2 linked regions of the Oryza sativa Japonica Group genome follow. The protein of the gene in region 1 interacts with the protein of each later gene in a pairwise test. Links are inferred from orthologs where the notes say so. Each region holds a gene or a part of one and is shown in the gene's direction. Other genes may lie near its edges.

Region 1 (4,152 bases):
TTATTTAGCCTGCACTGTTATCACCTTTAGATTATTAATCGCCTGCCTCATCATTAACCAGTTAACATGATCATTGTTTGTTTACATTCAGGCATGGGTACCACTTCATCCTCTGTGAAGGAAGGAAGAACTGATCAGTCTGCTTCAGGTTGGAACAGAAGCACCTCAGTCTATACAAGATGCAGATGCCTCGTGTCTCTGTCAACTTAATAAGCACTGAATGACGGGCATCCATATTCTATGTTTAGCCTTTCTAATGCTCTCTGAAAGAGTCTTGAAAAACTGTGCTTTCTGTAAGTAACCTGTGGTGTCAAGCATGACATCTATTTGGGATATGCTGAGATTTAGCATTTGTCTGTGTCTCTTATCTAATTGGCATCTTGTTAGCTATTGTTATGTCTCTAATTGGATGGTTCCTCCTCTTACGACAAGGCGGGTCTTGCCTGAAAATTAGAAAATGCGTAAACCTTGTGCGCCATATAAGCAATTTATCCCGAGTAACATAGCATTTGTAGATGTGGTTTCCTGTTGCTGGCTTGCTGTCCTGGGAATCTCCCGAATGTCAAGAGCTTTTAGACGATGACACTTATATTCAGTCAACTCAGTGTTTAGAAAGCATAAGTTCTACTCTCCGTTTCATATTATAAGACTTTCTAGCATTGTCTATATTCATATATATGTTAATGAATCAAGACTTTCTAGCATTTGTCCATATTCATATAGATGTTAATGAATCTATACACATATATATCTTGATTCATTAACATCTATATGAATGTGGATAATGCTAGAAAGTATTATGATATGAATCGGAGGAAGTACTTGATCTCAGCCTGAATTGAACCATAATACTACTGTGTAAACTTCTCCACAACGGAAATGGCGTGGGTGGTGAAAATCAAGGAGGAAGGTGAAACTCAGTTGGAGTGAAACGTCTGTCGGAGCTCATCCTCAGTTTTACTTTTTTGGATATTTTCTTTCACGACTATACAAACTTTTTACTTCTGTTTTATTCAATGAAATCTGGTACGTAGCTTGCTTTGAGCTAACGACACCGATAAGCAGAATTTAGACCCTCTTTATTTAGGCTTATAAGCCAATTTATAAACCGAAAAGTTTAAGACTAAACAAACAAGTAATGTCTTTTTAAAATCATAAGCCACTCTAACACTGTTAACCCAAAAACTTGGTTGGAGAAGTTTTTTTTCTTATGTGAGATAGATGTATAACTTCATCACTAACCTTAAAACATTAAATTCATCGGTTTATAAATCATATACAAACCAATAAACTAGTAACTTAAAATTCTAAACAAATAAGCTAAGCCTAAAACTAATAAAAGGGCCTTGACGGTCTTGACGGAGCAGCTGTGAGCGACTGTTCATATCCATAGTCCCCCAAGAGCGCGCGGAACCAACGGTCGTCGTCTCCTCTAATCCGCAACCCCGCTCTCGTCCGCCTTCTGGCTGCGCGCCATGGCTGCTGCCATCCACCACCACCACCTCCTCCCTCCTCGCCTCCTCTCCGTCCACCCGCAGCCTCCCCGCCTCCGCCTCCGGCGCCCGCTCCCCCGCCGCGCGGCCGCGTCCGGCGCAGCGGCCGGGACGTCGTCGTCGACCGCGGCCGCGCCGCCGCCCACGGACGCCGCGCTGCAGGAGTTCAGGCGCTGGGTGTCGTCCCACGGCGCGGACGCGGGGGCCGGCGCGGCGGCGCCCGCCGCCGTCCCCGAGGGTGGCCTCGGCCTCGTCGCGGCGCGGGACCTGCCCCGCGGGGAGGTGCTCGCCGAGGTGCCCAAGAAGCTCTGGCTGGACGCCGACGCCGTCGCGGCCTCCGACCTCGGCGGCGCCGTCGGCCGCGGGGGGCTCAGGCCCTGGGTCGCCGTCGCGCTGCTTCTCCTCCGCGAGGCCGCCCGCGGCGCCGGCTCGCCGTGGGCGCCCTACCTCGCCATCCTCCCGCGCCAGACCGACTCCACCATCTTCTGGTGAGTTGAGGTGATGCTGATCGCTCATCGCTCTTCATGTGTTCGACGAAATGCTCCTTTTTGTTTTGGGTGGTTCATCACGATTAACCTCACATTCCTCTCCGTGCTGATGCTTTTGAGTGGTTTGCTTCGTGCCTCCAGTGCAGGTCAGAAGAAGAGCTCTTGGAGATACAAGGTGGGCGTCCATTGCAAAAAGTTCAAAATCCATGAATTTAAATTACAAAGCGAGCTCGTTTTGTTCATACTGGTTGCTAGTATCTTTGTTGAAATCTGTATGCTTTTGTTCCTTGCAGGAACACAGTTACTGAGCACAACAATGGGTGTGAAGGAGTATGTGCAGAGTGAATTTGAGAGTGTTGAAGCTGAGATCATAAGCGAGAACAGGGAGCTCTTTCCTGGTACTGTAACATTCAATGATTTCCTATGGGCATTCGGCATACTCAGATCACGGGTGTTTGCGGAGCTCCGTGGAGATAAGCTTGCTCTCATACCATTTGCTGATCTTGTAAGATCTTGAAATGCAATCATGCCTGCATTTTCTATTTGCTTTTCCAACATGCTGTGAACCGACTTATCTTTGCAAAATAGATACCACTGGAAACCATGCCTGTAATTTGTCATGCCAAAACGTTCAGAATATTTTTATTATACACTATAATATGCTCTTTCAATACTTTTCCCTCGATATATAATACAAATCCAACCAAAATATTGGGAAACCATTATGTTCTAATCATTTTGGTGCTTTGCCAAACCAGGTAAATCACAGCGATGATATAACCTCAAAAGAGTCCAGTTGGGAGATCAAAGGAAAGGGTCTTTTTGGTAGGGATGTTGTGTTTTCTTTGCGAACACCGGTGAATGTTAAATCTGGAGAACAGGTACAAGTTCCCATTTATTCATTTTAAGGAAATCATATAGTTGTGCAGCTGTGACTTTTGTTCACTGACAACATTTATATACTAAATAATGTTTTGACAGATATATATTCAGTATGATTTGGACAAGAGCAACGCAGAATTAGCGCTTGATTATGGTTTCACCGAATCAAATTCATCAAGGGATGCATATACTCTGACCTTGGAGATATCTGAATCTGATCCATTTTATGATGACAAGCTTGACATTGCAGAGCTAAATGGGATGGGGGAGACTGCATACTTTGATATTGTCCTTGGTGAATCTCTTCCTCCTCAAATGCTACCTTACCTGCGATTACTCTGCCTTGGGGGAACAGATGCATTTCTCTTGGAAGCACTCTTCAGAAATGCTGTTTGGGGCCACCTTGAACTGCCAGTGAGTCAAGATAATGAAGAAGCGATATGTCAGGTCATCCGAAATGCCTGCAAATCTGCCCTTGGTGCTTACCACACTACCATAGAAGAGGTATGTTTATAACCCGAATAAGCATTGTTCATTTTCTTTTTTATGTTATTATCTCCAAATTAGTATTACGAAACATGTCAAAATATATGTAGGACGAAGAACTGTTGGGAAGTGAAAATCTTCAGCCAAGGCTTCAAATTGCCGTTGAAGTCAGGGCCGGTGAGAAGAAAGTGCTACAGCAGATTGATGACATTTTCAAGCAGAGGGAGGAGGAACTGGATGGCCTAGAGTACTACCAAGAACGGAGACTCAAGGATATTGGTTTAGTTGGCGACAATGGTGAAATTATCTTCTGGGAATCCTAGAGACTTTTTATTCATTTTCTGAGGGTAGAGAAGGTTTTGTAAAATGCCACTGTGCAATAGCAAATTAATGAAAGAAAAAGAGAAAAAAAATGATATTCTAGCACATGCACCTTGTGCCGTAACCAGTGCAATAGTAGTAGATGTTTACGGAGTACTCCACAAAGTTGGAATTATCGCCAACATTCAAAATTATGACTTCCACTCTACCAGTAGTCATATCACTTCAATTCCTGAAATCAATATTTTCCTTCATACAAACAAAAATTGGACATCATTGCACATTTGCACTAGTACTTGTAGTGTTATTGCATTTCAAACACGTCAACCGAACTTTTTTTTAATTAAAAAAGCCTATAAATTGCGCTTAAATCGGTTCAAATTGACGAGGCACATTTCACATTTTGGCCACTTTGTTACACATTTGTGGCAGAGTCCAAACTCCAAACTGTATCAAGGTATTTGTGGGCGCTTCTCTTTGTT
Region 2 (4,054 bases), on another chromosome or scaffold:
TTTAGCAGTTTGAAGAAACGTACGCGCGGAAAACTAGACTAGGGAGTTGGATCCAGCTCTTGCAAATATAGCCATAGACATGTCGCCACCGTCGTTGACCACTCCCCTTGCACCGTCATGCTTGTTTGCTCAATCAGACGCTATGGAGAGCCCCAAGTCCAATGCTTCAAATTCAGCAGTGGATCCGATACCGGTTACATCCACGGTCTCAGGAGGGACCGATATGGCGTGTCAATGATTTTTGTTTCTTGGATTTGGGGAGTTTGTGTGAATTTTGTCAATGTTTTTTTTAAAACTGACTGTGTATGTTGAATGTGAATTTGATGTGTACTAAATCTGATTGTAGGCTGTGATTGGATTTGTTTTCGGTTTTTTACACCAAAAATCGTTGACTAGTTGGTCTTAACCTAGTCATATGTGAAGATCAATTTTCACATACCGCTGTCTTAAAAAAATCCTCCGTAAAAATGATGATTTTTATGGACCTTTTATTAGAAGAGGTCGTCCGAACCGTGCCTCTCAGTCGATTAATCGATTTTAGCCGCCTGTTTAAAAACCGTTTTTTATAGTGAACCTTAACTAACGCGTGCGCTCATACAAACACAGCTACGACATACCTAACTGCTCTAGAACGCAGGTATACGTGCCCCGCCATTAGCAAGTCACACGAATAGTATAAGCAACCTAGGTCTCTTTCTTTTCTCCGATAAGAGTTAGATAAAGATTAAGATTTTCGTGCCGCGCTTTTCAACTGTGAAAACTTTCTATATGAAAGTTGCTCTAAAATATAATATTAATCTATTTTTTAAGTTTGTAATAATTAAAACTCAATCAATCATACGTTAATACCATCTCATTTTACGTAAAAAAATTTAATCTTTCATCTTCAGAAGAAAAGAACACCACCGTAGCCATCCATTTCGCCATATATAGATTGCTCTTTCATTTCCCGATCGGTTGATTAATTTCGCATGCGTCGCCTTTTGAAATACTATGCAAATTATGGATGCATGTTTGCAATTGGGCCGGCACGAGTTAAGAAGAAAAATGGGCAAACTAGTACTGGTGCATACACAGTGGGTTTGAGAATGACATGGACGCTTCTAATATTTCCGGGCCCTTTTTACACATGGGCGCCCACGTGGCCTTCCAAACGCGCTCAATCCAATCATCCAAACCGAAAAATAAAAAACCCAAACTTTTTTATGCAGTAGTAGTAATTTTCAGAAGAAAGAATGAAAATAAAGGAAAAAGGCTAGCAGAATTGGCTTGGCTCGTCAAACCTTTGGAGTGCGTCCGCGTGTGCGAGCTGCGCCCGTGTGATGTGGGCGGGTGGGTGTTCGTGTCTCCGCTTGTCTCCCCGCGGCGCCCTCCTCAAATATTCTCAACTCCCCAACCAATTCATTCCCCCGAGCTGAGCTGAGCTCTCATTCCTTCCTTCTCCTTTCCGCCGGCCTCGCCTCTCGTCTCCTCCTCTCCCCTACCGATACGCACGCTCGCTTGCTTGCACCTCGCGCGCGAGAGACGAGAGAGAGACGGCGAGCCCTGGCACGCACGAGAAGCGAATCGAAGTGGCGGCGACAGGAGCAGCTGCTGCTGGTGGATTATCCGTCGTCAACATGGCTCAGGAGGACGTCGGTCACCTGAGCGACGCCGGCCTGGCGCTGGGCCTGTCCCTCGGCGGGGGAGGAGGAGGGACGACCGACGCGGCGGCGGCGCACCGTGGCGGCTGCCGGCGGCCGTCGCCGTCGTCGCAGTGCCCGCCGCTGGAGCCGTCGCTGACCCTGAGCTTGCCCGACGACGCGGCGGCCGGCGCGGCCGCGACCGCGACCGCGACCGCGTCCGGCGGGGGCGGCCCTGCGCACAGCGTGTCGTCGCTGTCCGTCGGCGCGGCGGCGGCGGCGGCCGTGAAGAGGGAGCGCGCGGAGGAGGCCGACGGCGAGAGGGTGTCGTCGACGGCGGCCGGGCGTGACGACGACGACGACGGGAGCACCCGCAAGAAGCTCCGGCTGACCAAGGAGCAGTCCGCGCTCCTGGAGGACCGCTTCCGGGAGCACAGCACGCTCAACCCGGTACGTCACGTACGTCCGCGCGTTCTCCTTACGTTCTATTGACTTGCCGCCGCTTAGCCTAGCTGCAGAAAGCTGCACTTGTAGTAGAACACAAGGAGCAAATTAAGATAAAAACATGGCGCATATTAATTTGTGTTTTGTTCATCTTTTTTGATCGAATATATATGGGTCACTGAACCACCGCTTTTGTTTTGTTTCTTCGAGCAGAAGCAGAAAGTCGCTTTAGCGAAGCAACTGAACCTCAGGCCAAGGCAGGTGGAGGTCTGGTTCCAAAACAGAAGAGCAAGGTTAGTATTTTTCATTTTTCGCGACTTTTCTTTCCTCTTCGAGACCAGTATTTTGCAACATGTACACGCGCCAGTGGGCACATATTTGCATCACGTATATATACATATCCTACTACTTTTATCTCAGCAAGAACCTTCAGCGTCGCTTTTCCTTTACGTAATTCAATCATGCATGCATGAGACAAGGATTATGATTATCTCCGTGTGTAGAAAACTAGAAATATTTTGAGAGTGCAGTGCAGTTTGTGGCTGTGGTTGATAACCATTTATCGATCGGTTCGTTTACACGCGTATACTACTACTCCATGCAGGACAAAGCTGAAGCAGACGGAGGTGGACTGCGAGTTCCTGAAGCGCTGCTGCGAGACGCTCACCGAGGAGAACCGTCGGCTGCAGCGCGAGCTGCAGGAGCTCCGCGCGCTCAAGTTCGCCCCGCCGCCGCCGTCCTCGGCGGCCCACCAGCCGTCGCCGGCGCCACCGGCGCCGTTCTACATGCAACTCCCGGCCGCCACGCTCACCATCTGCCCGTCCTGCGAGCGCGTCGGCGGGCCCGCGTCCGCCGCCAAGGTCGTCGCCGCCGACGGGACCAAGGCCGGCCCCGGCCGGACCACCACCCACCACTTCTTCAACCCCTTCACCCACTCCGCCGCCTGCTGATCCGATCCATCCATCCTCATGAATCTGCAGTTCGATCGATCGATCGATCTGCAACACCAAACAGACATAGCACTGCTGCTGACTGCTAGCTAAAGCTTAGTACTACCTCACGTCACAGGTAACATATACACGTGACATACATGGCGATTGGCGACATGATCATCATGCATCATCATCCTCTCCTTGAGCTACTGTTTCTTGCCCTGGGGGATTCCAGCTTCCATTAGCTAGACAGTCCATCTCAGTCAAATCAATCATAGGCTTAATGATAGGATTAGTCAAATTAATTATAGCCGGGCCACAGCTAGTACCCGATCAATGTATATTTTTGTGCATGCATGTAAGTATGTAACTGTGTGCCCCCCTCTCATCACTAGTTAGCTTTACTTTTCTTTTTTGTTTCACAGGCTAGTTAATTTTCAGAGGGGATCATCATGGGGCAGTGCAGTAGCTAGATAGATTAAGCTTGTATACTAGCACTACTGATGGATTAAAATTCTTAGATAGTGTCACACACGCACAGTGTTGGATCGGATGACGACATGAGCTAGCTTAGCTAGCATGCCTGCCTCCCTCCTGTTCGCTCGGCCCTGTCGGGTGCGTGTACATGTGTTTACTTTTGTATGGATATACGTCTCAATGATTGTGTGTGTCGGGGCTCCCCAACTTCAAAAATTTATTGAGTTGCCATCGCTTTCGCCTCTCTGCTGATTATTGGTTAATCAGGAAGAGAGAGCGGGACTTCGCCCTCTCGTCTCATCTTTTTGTTTGCTTAATTAGGACTTGAGAGCGGTAGCTAGCCATCTGGATCTCTGCTCTGCTGCACGCCATATTAATTAACCCAAGGCAATTTTAACACGTACGGCCACACCACCACTCGCGATCGACTCTTGCTGCGGGTACGTAGCACATACATGATCGGCCGGTTGCACGTACTGTTGGACACTGACGGTTTCCGTGCGATCATACTATAGTAGTAGCTAGTTCGTTGAGTAATTACTGCACTTAGGTATAGTCAGCGTCGAAGCTAGTTGCCCT

The links.
Region 2: the proteins of fructose-bisphosphate aldolase-lysine N-methyltransferase, chloroplastic (region 1) and homeobox-leucine zipper protein HOX19 interact in binary tests that used the Arabidopsis thaliana proteins (3 or more experiments, as listed by UniProt). The link is inferred for Oryza sativa Japonica Group from reciprocal best matches to the Arabidopsis thaliana genes LSMT-L and HAT22.

The regions. Positions count from the first base shown.
Region 1 is NC_089043.1:18,985,115-18,989,266, reverse strand, and holds fructose-bisphosphate aldolase-lysine N-methyltransferase, chloroplastic, read left to right. Parts: upstream 1-1,352; 5' UTR 1,353-1,475; coding exon 1,476-1,981; intron 1,982-2,127; coding exon 2,128-2,156; intron 2,157-2,274; coding exon 2,275-2,486; intron 2,487-2,739; coding exon 2,740-2,862; intron 2,863-2,962; coding exon 2,963-3,367; intron 3,368-3,459; coding exon 3,460-3,672; 3' UTR 3,673-3,775; downstream 3,776-4,152. Other genes in the region: uncharacterized protein, read left to right, coding at 92-134. UniProt on the Arabidopsis thaliana protein: Protein-lysine methyltransferase methylating chloroplastic fructose 1,6-bisphosphate aldolases. Can also use with low efficiency gamma-tocopherol methyltransferase as substrate, but not a cytosolic aldolase.
Region 2 is NC_089037.1:6,978,759-6,982,812, forward strand, and holds homeobox-leucine zipper protein HOX19, read left to right. Parts: upstream 1-1,253; 5' UTR 1,254-1,619; coding exon 1,620-2,081; intron 2,082-2,279; coding exon 2,280-2,359; intron 2,360-2,670; coding exon 2,671-3,016; 3' UTR 3,017-3,666; downstream 3,667-4,054.